2 linked regions of the Pelodiscus sinensis genome follow. The protein of the gene in region 1 purifies or fractionates together with the protein of each later gene. This does not show direct contact. Links are inferred from orthologs where the notes say so. Each region holds a gene or a part of one and is shown on either strand. Other genes may lie near its edges. The genes, in order: SLX4 and SLX4IP.

Region 1 (9,689 bases):
TATTTTGGAATTAGAAAAGGTTCAGAAACGGGCAATAAAAAAGACTAGGGGTATGAAACAGCTTCTGTATGGAGAGATTGGGACTTTTAATCTTGGAAAAGAGACTAAGGAAAGATTTGATAGAGGTCTATAAAATCATGACTGCTGTGGAGAAAGTAAATTAGGACGTTTTGTTTACTTCTCAACACACGGACTGGGGGGCAACAAATGAAATTAAAAGGCAGCTTGTTTAACACAAACAAAAGAGAGTATTTCTTCAGACAGCTCAGTCAACCTGTGGAACTCCTTGCCAGAGGATATTGTGAAAGGCAAGACTTAGACCAGGGTTCAAGAAAGAACTAAATCAAGTCATGGAGGGTAGGTCAATCAATGGCTGTTGACAGGGAAGGTGTCCCCAGCCTCTTTCAGAAAGTGGGAATAGGTGATGGGACGGATCACTTGATGACTACTTGTTGTTTGTTCCTTCTGGGGCTCCTGACATTGGCCACTATTGGAAGACAGGATACTGAGCTACATGGATCTTTGGTCTGACCCAGTATGGCCGTTCTTATCGGGCTTTTTCACACATTCCAGGGGTACTGCAACCCTGTGCTGATTTCTCATTCCATTGCAGGCATGCACTGATCAAAAAACTCGATCAACTGAGGGTCAGCCAGCCTGACTTGGCCCAGCTGCTGCTTGATCAGGTGAGGGCCATGTTTGCACCATGCTCCCTGAGCAGGCTACCACATCTGTGGGCAGTAAGGGAGTGGACCAAGGCTGTCTTGTGGCCAACTGGAATCATGTACCCAGTGATCCCCACTCTCGGTATTTTTAGTACGCAGTGACCATTTCCCTAGAATGTTTTGGTGTCATCCAGGGATGGGTCTGTGTTGCTCATTCTGGCCTACTACAATTCGTGTCTGGTGCAGAGCTGAGAACGATGCTGTTTACACCAGAGTGGGCAGCACTAGTGGGGGGGGGGGGGAGGGAAGGAAAGGAAAGGAAAGGAAAGGAACCAAGCAGAAAGAATTCATAGGCAGTACCTGACATTTAAGATGGCTCTCTTGAAGTGTGGAGGGATGGTAATTGTGTCTGAAACTGAACAGGGCTCCAAATGGCACCTCACATTCATACACTCGGGGCATGGAGTGCTGGAGAGCCACCAAGGTGGCTCCTGTTGCTAACAACATCTCTTCTCTGTGCCTTTGTCTCGCTCAGATTTATGAGAATGCCATGATAGCAGCAGGACTGAATGATGACCCCAGACCTATGGTGAGCCGTCTAAATGAGCTCCTTACCAAAGCCCTGGAAAAACACTGATCCCCAAACTGATCGAAGGGGCAAGCTCTGTGCCAGGTATCAGCCGCAGTTCCTTCAAGCACAACTTCCACTGTCAGCTGATGGAACAGCCGTCTGGTCCCAGACTCCGTACAGTGAGACTAGAATCTCTGCAGGTCTGCGTGGCACATGAATGTGCTCCCAAGTTTCACTTTAGAGAGAGGTTCCAGTTGTAAGTACTGGGCTGTGTATTACCCTTCCGGAATGGCATCATCCAGCTGAGATCAAAACCAGGAGATTATCGCTAAAATGATTTGCCAGGATTTCTGAGGTTGGCTCCAAAGTTCTAATTTCATATTGATTCCAGAAACAGTCTTTCCCAATAGCAAAATTGACATCAGGAGTCCACACTAGCTCCATGAAACAGCCCCAGATACCCATTCAGGAATTTGCCCTTGTACACTGTGGGCTCAGAACACCAGCTTCGGCCGAGCAAAATGAGTTTGTCACAAAACTTCCACCCAGTGGTTAGCAGGCACCGGGATAGATGGTTGCCATTAACAAACATAGGTCGGAGTGGTGTGGCAGATAAGGTAGCTGAGCCACTGGATAACTGAACTCATCTCTGTATCTGGGGATATATTTGACAAGCTCACTTGGCATTTTGAACAGTTTTTCCAGGGTTTCTGCCTCCCTTGTGGTATAATTGGCATGCCCTAGGTAATCGCTGTTCTGCTTATTTATGTTAAATAAATTCTTCATTTAATGATACCTTCACCAGGGGAATTTGCCTTATTTTTCTCTGTTGTGCCCCAGCTCTGATAGCATGACAGTTCATATCCTTTCACACACTCCCCAATGCTGAGAGGCAGCAGCGTCCTAGAATGGTGGGGAAGAGCTCCTTCTGCCAGTGGTGTGGGGGATGGGGAAGGCCATATAGAAGGAATTGGAAGGGAAGTAGGAGGCGAGTCCCTGAGCTATGAACCCTAATTCTTGTCCTTAAGGTACTAAGAGCTAAACTCCAGGTTTTTAACATGTGCTAACTACCCAGCAGAAAGGGCCTGAGAGAGACAAGCTACCATGGTCCTCTGTTTTTCTGTTTCACCGGGCAGTTGAGCTCAGTGTACAAGATTTTTTTTAATAACCAGTAGCATTGCAAACTCAGTGTGGGCTCTTACTGGAGAGTTCAGGATGAATCAGAAATAAGATTCTATAAGTAGAACTTGGTTAATGATTCTGGTGCCATGTGAGCCAGCATAGAATCAGCTCTCTCCCAGAGATACTTGAGCTCAGCAGGTGAACACAAATAAGCAGTAAAAACTTGTCACTAAACCAGCATTTTGTGATGCTGACCAGACAAAATTGAAGAGTAATGTTGTCATTTTTTAAATACCATAAACTTACCTCAGCCTTTGGGAAGATCAGAAAGTAGAGCCTTTCACCTTTCCATCTCTAGGATTAACTCAGACTAGCATCGTCAATGTGTGAAGTCTGTTCAGTGTCTATATGGTGGATCATGAGCCAGCTCTGCTTAAGGTATATGTAGCATCTTGTTGCTGTTTAGTCATTTAAATAAATACCACCCAGTAAATTGGACTTACTTATGGTCTGCATTATACTGTATATAATACTAAGGTCATGTCTACAGTACATGGAAGATTGATACTGCTGCGGTTGATCTTCTGGGGTTCAATTTAGCTAGTGTCGTGAAGATGCACTAAATTGAACTCAGAGGGTGTTTCCCTCAGCACCAATAAGGTGGTGTGGCGGGTATCCCCTGATCCTGCACCTCTGTCCGCAGCAAGATGAGACTCCGCCAGCCAGTAGAATAGAGAGGGTTTATTGGTTCTCCAGGATACAGTACAGAATTGACGTCATATGGTTACAGGAGTCAGGGCCAGGCAGCCTTGGACCCCTTGGGATAGGGGTCCACTAGCCCCTCAACCCCCAGTATTCAGCTTAGTCTCTTCATGTTTTTCCAGCAAAGACTGCCCTTCTCCAAGCCACACCCTTCTGTTGTTCAGATCCCTTTCCTCATCAGGTGAGAACTGGTTGGACCATGAACTACATGAGGAGAGCCTCCAGGCGACCCCCCCCCCCCCCCACTGGGCAGTGCTTACAGATGCAGGCCAGTAGGGGTCACCTGCAGCCCCCACTGCAACCAGTGAATGCCCAACCAGAGTGGACCTACAACCACTAGAGTAAACAGCCCCCCACTACGTCACACCTGCTCCTAGTGAGGAGTATAATGGAAGTAGCCGGGAGCGTTTGCTGGCATCAACCTCCTGCTGTGTGGATGGCAATTTAAGATGCATCGACTCCAGCTATGTAACTAACATAGCTAGAGTTGTGTATCTTAGGTCATCCTTCTGCCCTAGTGTTGAGCGGGCCCAAGAGTATAAATGAGGCAGTTCAAATTCTGGGGTCAGGCAAAACCTAAGGCTACATCTACAGTGGCAGCTTCTTGCGCAAGAACTCTTTTGCGGAAGAGTTCTTGTGCAAAAAATCTTCCACAAGAGCGTGTCCACAATTCCATGTGCTTTTGCACAAGAGATGTGCTTTTGCGCAAGAGCATCCATGGCAGTGTGGACACTGATGGTCATTTTAACCATAGGGGCTTCTTTCACAAGAAATTCATGTTGCCTGTCTACACTGCCCTCTTGTGGATCAGCTCTTGTGGGCTAATTCCTCATGGGGAGAGGAATAACTCTTCAGGAAGAAGCCCTGTTTTACAACGCTATACTGTAAACTTACTTGTGCAAGAATGCTCCTGCAGTGTAGACAGCAGGCAAGTTTTTGCGCAAGATCAGCTGTTCTTAGGCTATGTCTACACTGGCAGCTTCTTGCCCAAGTGTTCATGTAATTAACGGGTAATAAATTAGGCTCTTAACCATCCTTTTTTCTGAGGCTGGTCAGCTGACCCACAGGTAGCACTAAGGAGTCAAATACATCCTTAACATAGGCAATGCCAAATAGTTATAGACGGTGAAATCCAGTTTGGAAGGATGTGTCTGAGACCCTGTGCTTTGGGACTTGGACAGAATCCCTTGAAGGTCTGGCTGGGACTTTGAGACTGGACCAGCTCAAAGTAGTTCCCTGGGCTACGTAACTGAGAACAGAGCTTTGTTCATCCAGACTTCCTGCTAAAACATTCAAGAGAGTGTCTTGGGTAGAGTCCAGCGTTGTGATTTACAGACAAACCACAGGCCAGGAATCTGCACTCTAAGCTCCTTCACCAGCAACTGTTTAAAACATTAAGGGAGGCTATTGTTTCCAAAAGCAGAGAACTCGGGAGCCATTAATAATACTTAGTAATTCTGTTTATGCTTTGCAAACACTAATTCTCCCATCTCCTTCGTGAAGTTAGTCATTACTGTCTATTTAACTAGTGGCAAAACTAGCACTGAGGGTAAATGAATTGTTCAAGGGCACACAGTGAATCTGAGCTAGGGCCTAGATCCCAGAAATCCTAAATACATTTCAATAAAAAAATGGAACCAAGTCATTTGAGATGTACAGCCATTGCCAGAGTTTCTAGCCCAGCAGCTCCGGAGCCTTTTCTCCCAAGAGAATTCCTGCCTGTTCTCTGGTTCAGCTTTAATGTTTGAAAACTGAGGCACCTTTCAGCTCTATCAACTGTGACAGGTTGGAACCCCCCTCCACACACACACCACGCTGCCATCTGATATGCTAGTTTCCGCTGCACCAGGTTGCTCTTAGACCCATCCAGCACACAAGCAGGCAAAAGCAGCCCCCACAGCAGGGGCTGGAGTAACCTTCAAGGCCACAGTAGGTCTGGGGCCAGAGCAGCCCTTGACATCTGAAGTCATGGCACAGCTGGGGCTGGAGCAGCCTGTCCTGCCACTGGGTGGGGCTGCTCCAGGGTTAACTCTGAAACCTAGCACTTAACTGGTTAACATTTTAAAAGTTAATTAACATCCCTGCATTCAGCAAAGCCACTCAGGACACAGTCCTGAAAGGCTCCTCCCTTCCATGGAAACCACAAGGAAGCTCACCTTTGTTTCAGTAAGCACAAGTACCATGGGTGTCGAAAAAAATCTCGGTCCTCCTAGGGTGGCCCCTATACAACGGAAACTTTGTGGTCCCCGGGATATTCCTGTGAGACTCCTTATTGCCAGATCACGGGGCTTAGCCAAGGGGAACGACGGATCTGTTGTCAGCACGCTGGTACCCGTGAACAGGGCGAGTTCCCTCTAAGGCTGTGGTGCTGGGGGCGCGCAGTAAGCACGGATTCCCCAGTGGATGGCAAAGCTAAGAGGGGCCATTGGAGCGCTCCTGCTGCCTCATTAAACTCCCCGCAGGAGCCGGGAGCTGTGACTGGAGAGCCGTTCCGCACTCGCCCGTCTGCGCGTGACCGTTTAACCGACAAAACGCTCGCGCGGGCCCAACCTGGCTGAGCCGTTAGCAGCCGGTCGAGCCGAGGTGCCTCCGGAGCACGCGCAGCAAGGGGAGGGGCCGCGCATGCGTACAGAACGAGGTTTGGGAGGTGGCCTTTGTGTAGCGATGATGGGGGTTTACGCATGCGCGAAGAAGCCAGACGACGGAAAGCGGCCCACGAATGCTACCCGCTAACGGCCGCCGTTTCTTCTACGCATGCGCCACAGATTCTGCGCGTGCCTTTTGGGCGGAATGTGCTGCCGCCCGGCTTAGTACCCAGGGGTGCGGAGCTGCCGCCCAGCAGAGGTCAGAGGGTCCGGGGGAGGCCGGGACGAGACGATGTAGCGGGGGGAAGATTCTCTGTTGCGTTGTCAGCGGCTGGCGCAACTTCTGGTTCCCATGGAGACGTTGTCAGGCAGCACTGCCGTGATGTCACAGTGCCCGCTGTGATGTCATAGTGCCATCGCTGTCACGTAGCACCGCTCGGCGGCTTTGGCGTGAGGGGCGATGGTGGGAAATGTGGCGCCCCCAGCAGTGCGGGTGGGAATCCCAGCCGGTCGCACCCCACAACCCTTCCCTCCCGGCCCGGGCCGGGTAACGAACCGTGCTAGACCAAGTCTCTGTCCAGCATCAGCCCGGGGATCCGTAGCTCGGGTCTAAGGCCAGTGGAAACGGCGCTGCGCCATTCAGCCTGGTGTTCCAGGGTTTTAAACAGTGGCAACACCTTGAAGAGGAGTTGTGGGGGGCACGTATGACAGCGTGGGATTTGGTGAACAGATCTCCTTAAAAGCACGCGCAAAGCCACTGCTAAATTAGCCACTTTTTAGTACACCGCTCTAAAATTGTTGGCTTGCAAAAGCCGTGCTTGGCAGTGCACGGTTAAAGTCTATCAAATAATTACTGGTGAAGAAAATGTAGGTCAGGCGTTTCTGTTCTCCCAGGCGTACAATTCAGGAACAAGGGGATATCTATGGAATTAAAACATTGGCACATTAACACAAAATTCACAGGTTTGCCAAAGAGGCCATAACATTAGCAACATTCAAAAAGAGATTGAACATTTATATGGCTAACAAAGACTGTCCAATAGATAATGGTAACCATGCCAAAATTTTGAAAGATGCAAACTTCATGTGTCTGTGCTCAAACCAACCTTGTTAACTATTAGGGTGAGGCTGTCATGGTGGCAGATCATCCCACAGCTTCATAATGAGGTGTTTATGCATCTTTCTCTGAAGCATCTGATACTAGCCATCATTAGGAGGGTGGAGATGGATGGCAGGAGAGAGATCGCTTGATCATTACCTGTTCGATTCACTCCCTCTGGGGCACCTGGCATTGGCCACTGTCGGCAGACAGAGTACTGGGCTGGATGGACCTTTGGTCTGACCCAGTATGGCCATTCTTATGTTAGAAACAGCACATCAGACTAGATCGATCGCAGATCCAGTCCAGTGTGGCAGTTCCTATATTCTGTAGCAGCAGTTCTCAAACTGTGAGTCCGGACTCCAAAATGGGTCTTGACCCAATTTTAATAGAGTCTCCAGGGCCAGCCTTAGGCTTGCTTGTACCTTAGGCTGAAGCTGAAACCTGAGCTCCACCCACACCTAGGGCAGCGTGGCTCCAGGGTGGTGGAGCTTAGGCTCTGGTCCCTTCTCTCTGTCCCCCTCTCCTCCTCCCTGGAATGGCAAGTCTCTGGCTGTGTTCTCTCCCCCCACACCTAGAGCGGTGGGGAGCAGGCTCTGTCCCTTTCTTCCACCTGAGTAACTCTGTTGTCAGAAAGGGATTGGGGTGCAGTGAAGTTTGATAACCCCTAGTCTATACTATTGTTCTGTGGATTGACTATTTCATTATCTAGCATGGCATCTATTCCTAGCATTATGTTCAGGAAAAGTTAAATTTATATTAGTTTAAAAAAAAAAGCCAAAACAATTTTGCTATGTAGGGCCTGCTTCTCCTATCAGAAATGCTGTTGACTTCATTAGAGTTAAACTGGTAAGAGAGAGGAATCAGGCCTTTTGTGCAGATTCTGTGTGTAACCAAGCTAGGCATAGATAATAAGCCCCATTAGCAATTTGCGGTAAAAATTAAAATGTGGGATTTTGTTAAAAATTGCATGGATTTTCCTTGAGCTATCGCAGCTCTCTCTTATCGTCACAGATATTTATAGCCGTCAGATTCGTAGTTACTTGTTTCACTCAGCTTTGTACTATTGCTTAACTGTAGCAGATGCAGGTTCACTCAGACCATATTACCTGGGGATGCAGCAGTTGCATTCTCTCTGCAGCATCTTCAAGGCAGCAAAGTGGAAATCTACCTTTCACTTCCAAGATCAGAAGGGATTAGATACCAAAAGAGCCGATCCTGGCTGGAAAAGCAAGGGATGTGGTGATTTAAGACAAAAGCTTTTGTCCTGTTATTGCGGACATTCACATGCTGAACTTTATTGTCAGCTCTGCCACTGGTCTCGTGGGTGACCATGGGCCAGTCACCTTCCCCCTCCCTTTCTGTCTCAGTTTCCCAATCTGTAAAATGGGGTTAATGATACTGACCTCTTTTGTAAAGTGTGTCAGGATCTACTGATGAAAAGCACTGTATAAGAGCTAGGTATTATTATTAGTTATCAGGTAGTTGAATTGACTGATGTATGGTCCATCTGTCCCTATGTCCTTACTTCCAACAGTGGCTTATGCAACATGCTTCAGAGGTTACGAACAGAACAGGGCAATAATAAAGCGATCCATCTCCTAGCATCCAGTCCCAACTTCTCTCAGACAGAGATTTAGTGGCACCTCTGACCATCTGAGCTAATGCATTCATGGACCTATCCTTCATCATCTTTTTCAATGAGTTCCACAGATAGTGTTAAGAAGTACTAACTCAGTGAAATTAAGGGCTCTCTGGTTCTTATGTTAGAAGAGGGGTAAATAACACTTCACTTTCTCCATACCATTAGTGATTTTATAAGCCTTTATCATATCCTGCTTTAGTCATCTCTTTTCTAAAATGAGCAGTACTCTTGGGTTTTTTTTGTTTGTTTGATTGTTTGGTTTGCTCTTCTCTCTTTTTTCAGATTTTAAGATATCTTTTTTGTGATGAGGTGACCAAAACTGCATTCTGTATTCAAGGTGTGGGCATATTATAGATTGATGTAGTGACGTTATATTTTCTTATTTATCTCTTTCCTAGTTATTCCTAACATTCTTTTGGCTTTTTTGATTGCCGTTGCACATTAAGATGTTTTTTGCAACCCCAGGGATGCAGAGAAGCCATGCCTTGTGAACAGTGTAGCAGTACAGTGAGTCTGCCATACTATGGTTACAAAGGATATTACTGTGATGAGCATGACATACAAGCCTATGTAGCACTGAACTGAGAGAGACTGCATGAGGGAAGGTCTGTGAGAGGCTCCTCAGGAAGGTCTGCTGTAGATCTGTGGGTTTCTCTCCAGCAGCAATGGGAAGTACTGAGGGCTGTAGGAAAGCTTATGGCTACAGTACTTGGGCTGGAAATATTCCAGGGGGTCTCTTTCTGCTGTGGGTTCCAGCACAAATACCAATTCTTTCCCCATGCTGTGTTTTGACTGGCGTGATTGAAAACTCTGCTTCCAAGCTTCCAGGTCCTCTGTAATAAGTCTTCAAGGGAGGGGAAGTAATATTTATGGTTCCAGCACAGCAGCACAGAGCCCTCCCTCTTCCTGGGATCTTTCTATAATTAGAAAACTAGTTACTTATGGAAAAAGAAACATTTAATTCCATTTTTGAGGAATGAAGTGCTTCCAACTTTCCCTCTATTTTGATCCTTCTCTTGAGACCTCCTTAAGTCTTTCAGGGACCATGTGCCACTGCTTTCTAGGTCTGCTGTTGAGTGAGGTAATGCATTCGTCCAGTCATGGCTGTGCTGCTTTTTTCGCAGTCCAAGCTCTGTCTGGCGCCAGACTGTTAACTCAGTCCAATTCTCCTGCACTTCAGTGTGAGGCACTGCAGCTGTATCATCAGTTCCTCATAGATCTCCAAAGCTGGAGTCCCCTC
Region 2 (9,368 bases), on another chromosome or scaffold:
GGAAGAAAATGAGTTACACTTACCCCAGTTCTGCAAACACACCCATGAGAGTATTGCAAGATCATGTTAACAGAAACAAAAGGGTATATCTACCCTACAAAAAAAAAAACAAAAAACAAAAATGCCCTCTCAAATCTGTCAGTACTCACTCTCAGAGCCTATATTAATGGTCTTGGGTTCATGTTTTGGAGCTACAAAAAAGTTGTGTAGACATTTCCGCTTGGGTTCTGAACCTCGTGAAGGGGTGGGTCTCACAGCCTTAGTGGGAATGCCTACATAGATATTTTTACCTCCATAATGTGATCCTGAATCACCTAATTCAAACTCCAAGACTGGCTGCTACAGGTTCTGGGTTTTCTTTGCAGTGAGGTCTCATCCTAAGCAGCATTCCCTGTAAGGTGAGCGCTTGGGTGGCCACCCAGCAGAGATGCAGATGCCACCCACCTGATTAGTAGAGTGCCCACAGCTGCTCACAGTAGACAGCACATGTTTCTACTGGTGGTGCACATAACCAAATGTATTCTGCCCCTGGAAGGAAAAATTTGAGGGAACATTGACTGAGGATGTTAAATTGAACATAACTGACTAGTCAAGTAGTCAACGGAATTTCTCTGACTACTCAACTAGTCGACAGGCACTTCAGCATTCCTCCTTTGAAATGTACAAGAACCTCCAGTGGGTGGAACACAGCGTGCTGCAGGAAGTCCCGCTGACTCCAGGCTGCACACAGCATGCCAGCTTTGAAATGTACAAGAGTTCCCAGTGGAGGCTCCTGTGATTTCAAAGTGGAAGCGCCCTCATGGACCCTGGGCTCCATGTTGCACTGCCGCTTTGAAATACCACCAGATCCCAGGGTCAGCTGGGAGTTCCCAGCTGATCCTGGGTTCCGCAGAAATGCTGTGCAGACCCCAGCTGACCCTGGACTCCAGGCAGCGCTGCTGCTTTGAAACTCCGTCTTGGTGTTTCAAAGGAGCAGTGCCACATAGCTGAGCCGGGCTCAGCTGTGTAGTGTTGCCCTTTGAAGTACTCCCTCTTCCCCCCGCTTTGCTGCCTCTGATAGAGGCAGCGGGTGGAAGGAGGGAAGGAACTGACTAGTCGACTAGTTTTTAACATCTTTAACACTGATCCTAAGTGACTTTCTCTAAATGTCACTGAACTTCAGTGTCAGTCAAATAAAATCCAGGCCTCCGGTTGCCCAACCTCATGCTTAGTTCACAAAAGAACATATGCTACATTTACCCCTATCCCTCTCAATGCTGTTCCTGATCATTAACATACTTCTGCTGTAAAACCAAAAGCTTCAATACCTATCTGAATGGCATCATTAACCTGAAAATATTTTATTATATCCTTTTACAAGTTTTAGTGAATAACTTCGCTTTCCCCACAAAACAAATCACTCATACTCACAAGAAGTCCTACTGTTGGCAAGAGTTCAGATTTTAAACTCTCTGTCAGGCTCTCATTAGCTTTAGTAATATAAGCTTCTTGTGCTAGATTTACTTTTGGGGGAATTCTGCACCATTGCAGATGCAGAGAATTCATGTGCCACACAGAATTTTTCTTTCCCCAGCAGACAATACATCCTGTCAGAAAGGTGTTGTAGTTACTCCTTTCATCCATCAGGAGCCACTGTTATACCAGAACAGAGCAGCCCCTGCAAAGAGGCTGCAGTCCCATCTGAGGATAGCTGCATTCGTCGTGGTGCCCTGCCTATGGGGCCATGTCAGGAGGCATGGGATATCAAGGGATAGACAGCATACGAAATATGGGAATGCTGAGGGTGTGTGTCACAGAGAAGTGTTCAGAATTTCTAGGGGGACAGACTGGGACAAAAGCTGACTGGCAATATGAGTAGGCTGCAGAGAATATTAGGAGTAAGCTATGAGGAAAGAAAAACAAACAATGAGACCAGTAAAATGACTAAAAAGTGAGGTCTCTATCACAAATAATTTGTAAGAAGACATCAATGGCTAGGGCAGGGCAGGGCTGGGCAAAAGATAATGTGGGCCGTTGATCACTTACAAAATTCTTGGAGAGGCCCCCCATCAAAAATTATTTCCTACTCCTGGGCTAAGGCATATTTTACAAAGGATCATAACTGACTACCAATTATGGCTCTCAGTTGGAGGCCAGAAAATCTAACAAGAAAGAGGGGTAGGCCTAGGATGACTTGCAAGCATACAATCATCAATGACATAAAACTATTTAATTTGAAATAGGACTTAGGTCACATGGCAGCTGATAAGCAAACCTGGAGAATGTGGGTAGCCCAATGTACTGAAAAGTATGGGATAGATTAAGATCTAAGGGACTGCAGTTTAAATTAATTAATCAGAATTCCATATTAATGTCTAGTAAGGAATTTATTCATAATTCTCTCCCCCCTCCCATTTCCTGAATCTTATCTTTACTGTTATATAGTTACTGGCAGGTATTTTGAAATAAACCAGGGAAGTAATTTGAACTGGCATGATTATATTGTTATTTTGACAAATGAAATATGCAGAATTTAAAAATATCATGTGAGTAATGTATTTTTTTGTATAGAATTTCCCCAGTATATATTGTTCAAGATAATGCATTATTATTAGACAGGAATCTGAAAACATAAAAATGATGGGAGCACTGGTGTTTTTTACTTTTTAACTCCCTACTTTTCTGGGGATGGGGGCTTGGGGTAGTGAGTTGAGGTGGAGGGTGGAAAGAAAATAGGAGGAGAGATAAGCAACTACTCTTCTGGAGTTGAAAATTTTTTGAAGGGTTGTTATAAAACAAGTCTTATCTCTAGAACTAGTTAGATCTTTCCCCCACCAAGCTGCAATATTTTCAGATACTTGAAACACCCTAACGACAGGGCTATACTTAAAAAGGTCTGCTGGAATAGCTGCAAACCCTCCTACGATAGATGCAGGAAAGAACAGTTTGGGCCAATGCAGCTCTTACCAATATGGCAAGCAAAATAAGATATACAACCCTAAAGCAATTTTATGCTGGTATAATTGCATCTACCACAGGACTTTGGTAACTATAGACATGTCACAAATACACACATCCCTACTCTTATGGACAAAACTGTATGCTGTAGAGTTGTTCTAAGTCATAGACTGCATTATGACAGGCTCTGAGAATTGGTAGTCTTCCCAATATTATACATGTGTCTGTGCAGTAGAAGGGTATAGTGTTGATAAACATCTCCTCTTAAAACACTTTGAAATATATACCTGACAAGCACCACATGACAGCTAAGCATTACCATTGTCAGGACTAAAGCTAACTGAAAATAATCCAACAATTTCTCAATTTCCCCTTCTCCATAAAGTTTCAAAACATGATACAAATTAATCAGCTGTACTAATATGTGAAATGCTGCTGCAAACTCCCCAAGATAGGAAAGTGAAGAAAGGACTGTTTCTAAATCTTTGAATCTTAGCTTCTTGACTGTGTGCTTTAGGACAGGGGTGTCCAAACTTTTTTCAAAGAGGGCCAGATTTGATGAAGTGAACATGCGTGAGGGCCGACCATTTTGCCTGACATTCTTTGAACCATTACAATTAAATGCAAATTAACTATTTTATGCAAAGTTTATTGCAAACGGCATACTTTTCATTTCGTTACATGGATGACAAATCTAAACAGGTGTTAAATCACTCTGCCTTTCATATCTGAAGGCCAGATGAAAAAAAAAATCCAGGAAGCTGAAATATATGTCAGGAACATTGTAAAGTACATTACATATTATTGGTAATAAAGGTTGTCTGTCAACTTTTAAGTTCAAAAAATATGAACAGGAACATAACACCAAGTATAAATGTTGTGTCCAAATATATTTATAACTGATTTAGACCAACTGACATTAACTGAGATTTTACAATGTATTCATCTCAATACATATGGATTCGTTGGGGACCATAAAAGATAGATATTGCCAAATTACCTGGGGGGCTGTATTAAACCAGAACATGGGCCGCAATTGGCCCGTGGGCCGGACTTTGGACATGCCTGCTTTAGGAGCTGTACACAGAATACCACCACTAGGATACACAGTGAGTGGTGGTGTTCATGTAAGATTTTCTTTGCTTCAGGCCAGGTCTACACACTAGACCTGTAAAGTCAGCTTAAGGTACACAACTCCAGCTACGTAAGCAACATAGCTGGAATCGACATACCTTAAGCCAAATCTGGCACTGTCTCCATACTCCAAATGGTTTGGTCGGCTTCCCTTACTCCTCAAAAGGAGCAGAACGGGCACTGACCCCCATTGTCTGATTTAGCAGATCATTACTAGACCCACCAAATTGAATGCCAAAATATCGATTTCCGGTGTGTCAAGTGGAGACATGGCTTCAGATTGTAACAGGAGTTTGCAAAGGGCACTGGACTAGGACTCTCAACACCTGGGCTGGATATTGGGCTCTGATACACAACTCCTCTGTAACCCACTCTCTAGGGACTGCTGTTCAAGTGTGGAAGAGAAAAAACCGAGCCTGGCAGGCCATTACGCACCAGGCAGTCCTAAAGGCTGCACAGGCGGGGGGCTGCTAGAGATGGGACACTGAGGCTCCCGGGGGGGTCAAACTGTCTCTCCTCAGGTGCTTGTCTGGGTGGCTCTTGCTCCAGCGGAGGTCTGAGGAGGAACTGGAAAGGAATCCCCCGAGCTCAGGCTGGCCGGGACCATGACGCTTTCCTGCAGCACAAGGCAGCCGCCATTCGCCACTCTGCCCCGGGCATCCCTCGCTGACTCATTCCCCTGCCAGGGCGGTGGGGTGGGAGGAGCTGATCCCGGTCCCGTCTATTCCCGGCCCGTAGCGCTCAGAGGTGGGGTGCAACGTGTGTGGGGCACGCAGAGCAGAGACGCTCGTGAGGACACGGTGTGAATGGCGGGTGCAGGGCCTGCTCCCATTGACTCCAGCTTCCCTCCCCCCGGGGCAAGCTGTGTCCACGGGGAAGGGAACCAGCCCCGCTTCGCCCGCACTCTCCGCCCCGCCCCCCCCCTCTCCTGCTCACCTCCGCTCGCAAACCCCCCGCCAACTCGCCCTCGCGGGGTGACCAACCGCCCGCAGCCAACGGCCGCCACTGTCCGCGCCCGCGAGAACGCCAAGAACCCTCCGCGGCACCGGCGCGGGTCCTTTGGTAGGGAGAGGAGGTGGCTAATCAAATGCCTGTTTGACCACTCAGAGTCAGCCTCCCCCCCAGAACAGAGCCTAACGGGGATTTCAAAATGATTCCTGCTACAGAAAACGCCCGGTCAACGGAACTTGGGTTTTTTTTTTTTTGAGGCCAAGTCCCTCAGGCATCTTTATAGACACCTACATAATACAACACTCCCCTCCCCCCATGTGTCGGAGGAGGAAGGTCCCATGCCGTCCGTGCCCCTCTGAGGGGGGGATGGGTTATGGACCCAGCGACGACTCAGCCCTTTTCTAACCGTTGGGGATAACTCGCAATGCGTTTAGCGAAACACCAAAATTGCATTGGCCGCCCGGGTCACGTGACGCAGGAGAAGCCAGGCAGGGAGCTGCCGTTCCAGGCGGAATGCATGCCGGGAGTGATTGGGTCGCCATTTCGGACGGCGGCAAGGAGACGCCCGCTCGGCGGCCATTTTGAATGGGGGCAGAGAGGCGCCACCGAGCCGCCATTTTTAGTAGGGGCAGAGAAGCCGGGGGTGGCGAGCGAGAGCGTGGCACGCGGTGCGGGGAGGGGCTGGAGCGTGAGTAACCCCCCCCCCCCAACACGGGTGGATACGGCCCTGGTCCTACTGCAGGATAACTCGCCCCCCCATAGACCCCCTCGGCATTCCCCCCGCAGACCTACCCCTACTAGCGCTGCCCCCAGGCATTCACCCCCGACCTCCCCGCTGCCTTTGCGCGCCCCCCAAGCCTACCACTGCTGCCCCCAGGCGTTCACCCCCAACTGCTCTGTCCCTTTCCATGCACCCCAAATCTATCCCCTGCTAGTGCTGTACCTTTTGCATTCACCCCCCGGCTTTCCTGCCAATTTGCATTAACCTAACGGCTACTGTTACCCCCTTTGTATTCGCCCCCAACTTCCCTGCCCCTTTGGCATTCACCCCCAAGCTACCATTGGACTGTTGTTTGTCCCCGTTAGATTCACCCCCATTTTCCCTCCCCCTTTGCATTCATTCCCAAACCTACCATTGCTAGTGTTATCTGTCCCCTTTGCATTCAGTCTTCAAACTTCCCTGCCCCTTTGGCATTCACCCCCAAGCTACCATTGGACTGTTGTTTGTCCCCGTTAGATTCACCCCCATTTTCCCTCCCCCTTTGCATTCATTCCCAAACCTACCATTGCTAGTGTTATCTGTCCCCTTTGCATTCAGTCTTCAAACTTCCCTGCCCCCTTTGCATTCACCCCCAAGCTACCATTGGACTGTTGTTTGTCCCCGTTAGATTCACCCCCATTTTCCCTCCCCCTTTGCATTCATTCCCAAACCTACCATTGCTAGTGTTATCTGCCCCCTTTGCATTCACCCCCAAACCACTGCACCACCATTGCTGTTTGAACTGGCATGATGAGATCCATGGATACACATGATGGCTACGTCTACACTGGCATGATTTTCCGGAAATGCTTTTAACGGAAAAGAGTTTCCGTTAAAAGTATTTCCGGAAAAGCGCGTCTAGATTGGCAGGACACTTTTCTGGAAAAGCACTTTTTCCGGAAAAGAATCCGTAGCTAATCTAGACGCGCTTTTCCGCAAAAAAGCCCCGATTGTCATTTTCGCGATCAGGGCTTTTTTGCGGAAAACACGACTGTGCTGTCTACACTGGCCCTTTTCCGGAACAGTTTTCCGGAAAAAGACTTTTGCCCAAACGGGAGCAGCATAGTTTTTCCGGAAAAGCGCTGATGATTTTACATTAGATTGTCAGTGCTTTTCTGGAAATTCAAGCGGCCAGTGTAGACAGCTGGCAAGTTTTTCCGGAAAAGTGGCTGATTTTCTGGATAACTTGTCAGTGTAGACACAGCCAATATGTTGGAGAAGAGCCAACATGGTTTTTGAAAAGGGAAGTGATGCCTCCCTATAACTCTTTGAGGAAGGTCAAAAATGGTGGACTAGGTTTATTCCATGGATATAGTGTGCTCAAACTTTCTGAAAGCCTTGTACAAGGTCCCTCAGGAAAGGCTTTTAAGCAAAGTAAGCACTTCTGGGCTAAGAGGGAAGGACCTCTCATGGATTGGTAGCTGTTTAAATGGCAGGAAACAAAGGATAGGAATAGTCAGTTTTTAGAATGCCAAGAGGTAATAGTGATAGAGATGCAACCGTGTTAGTCTGGTCTAGCTGAAAGAAAAGACAGAACTATGTAGCACTTTAAAGACTAACAAGATGGTTTATTAGGTGATGTGCTTTCGTGGGCCAGACTCCTGAAAGTTCATCACCTAATAAACCATCTTGTTAGTCTTTAAAGTGCTACAAAGTTCTGTCTTTTGTTTCAAGAGATAATAGTGGTATTCCCCAAGGATGTACACTGGGAATAGTACTATTCAATATAGCCATCAATGAGCTGGAGAAAGGAGTAAATGCTGAGGTGACAAGGTTTACTGGTAATACAAAATTACTCAAGTTAGCTAAGTCCAAAGAAGATTGTGAGGTGTTTCAAAGGGATCTCACAAATCTGGATGACTGGACAATGAGGATACAATTTCACACACTCCCAACTGTCCATACAAAATAACGGGGTTTAAATTAGTGATTAGCCTTCCAGAAAGAGACCTTGCAAACATTGTGGATAGTTCTGTGAAAACATCTGCTTAATATGCAGTAGGGAAAAGCTAACAATGTTAGGAACTATTAGGAAAGGGATAGAGAATAAGACAGTAAATATCATAATACCATTTTATAAATCCATGGCCTGCTCATAGCTTGAATATTGTGTTCAGTTCCGGTTGCACCATCTCAAAAAAGATGTATTAGAATTGGAAAGGGTACAGAAAAAGGCAACCAAAAGTATTAAAGATATGGAATAGTTTCATAGAATCATAGAATACTAGAACTGGAAGGAACCTTGAGGAGTCATCAAGTCCAGTTCCCTGCATTTCTGGCAGGACCAAGCACCATCTAGACCAGAGGTGGGCAATAATTTTTGCTGGGGGCCACTTCAAAAATTACTTACTCCTTCACATAACACAAGAACCGGGAGTCAGCCAATCAAATCAATAGGCAGAAAGTTTAAAATAAAATAAAGTACTTTTTTCACACAGTGCATTGTCAACCTGTGCAACTCATTTCCAGCAAATGCTGAAAAGCTCAAAACTATAACTGGGTTCAAAAAAGAATTAGATAAATTCATGAAGGATAGGTCTTTGAATGACTGTAAGCTAGTGGTTCTCAACCTGTGGCTCGTAGACTGTTTGCAACCCAATCAGCACACAGTTGTAGCCTATGTGAAATCCTCAGTGCCACACAGGTAGTATTGGATGTAGCCCACAAAACACAACAAGGGTAAATAGGTTGCCAACTCCTGTTATAAGCCAAGATATTCAGGGTTTTCACCCCATGGTTTGGGTGCCCCAAGTTTCAGATTGTGAGAAATTTGGGCTAAACAGAAGGGGGTGTAATTGCCCTCTGAAGCACTGGGCATTGGCTACTGTTGGAAAACATGATACTGATGAGCAAGAATGGTCTTATGTTCTTATGCCTGTCCCCTTTGCTTTCACCTACTCTATCCTTCCTTCCCTCTTTGCATTCACTATGCCAAACTTCCCTGCTCTCCTTCTGCTGCCCGCCCTCTTTTCAATCATCCCAACTTTCCATACTTCCTTTTCCTTCACTCCAAACTGCCTCATGTCCAATGTTGCTGCCTGCCCCTTTTCCTTTTTTTCCAAATTTCTACATCCCTTTTGCATTCTTCCTCCAAATCTCCCCACCCTTCTTGCATTCACTCTCCCAAACTGCCCCTAGTCTTGCGTTCCCATTTAGGATTCATCCCTGTCAACTTCCCCACTGCTAGTCCCCTTTGCATTCTCCCCAGATCTCCCTGCCCTTTTTGCGTTCACTCCCCCCCCCTCCCCCTCCTGCTTGCTACCATTGCATACATCCCAAACTAGCCTTAGTTGCTGGTGCTGCCCAGGCCTGTTTCATTCACTCCCCAAATCTCACTACTCCTAGTGTTGCTGTTTTCTTTGCAATCTCCTTTGCAGGAGTGAGACCAAGGCTGGGCCACCACAGCAGGAGTGGGGTCATGGCCAGATGGGGAATGGCGCTGGGCTGCCACAGCTGAAACTGTGGGCAAATGGGTCGATTTCAGACCCTCTCTGCAGAAGCAAGGCCAGGTCCAGACTCCTGTGGCAGGAGTGGGGCCTCTGCCAGCTCCTCCTGCGGCAGATCAGGGTCATGGCCGTGCTGCCAC

What was found.
Region 2: the proteins of SLX4 (region 1) and SLX4IP purify together in Homo sapiens (affinity purification with mass spectrometry; 6 studies listed by BioGRID and IntAct, with this or other methods). This does not show direct contact. The link is inferred for Pelodiscus sinensis from reciprocal best matches to the Homo sapiens genes SLX4 and SLX4IP.

What each region holds. Positions count from the first base shown.
Region 1 is NC_134726.1:3,762,374-3,772,062, forward strand, and holds the start of SLX4 (structure-specific endonuclease subunit SLX4), read left to right. Parts: upstream 1-5,818; 5' UTR 5,819-5,964; intron 5,965-9,689. Other genes in the region: TRAP1 (heat shock protein 75 kDa, mitochondrial), read left to right, coding at 614-686, 1,201-1,302. UniProt on the Homo sapiens protein: Regulatory subunit that interacts with and increases the activity of different structure-specific endonucleases.
Region 2 is NC_134713.1:189,769,797-189,779,164, reverse strand, and holds the start of SLX4IP (protein SLX4IP), read left to right. Parts: upstream 1-5,320; 5' UTR 5,321-5,607; coding exon 5,608-5,710; intron 5,711-9,368. Other genes in the region: uncharacterized protein LOC142828075, read right to left, coding at 24-65.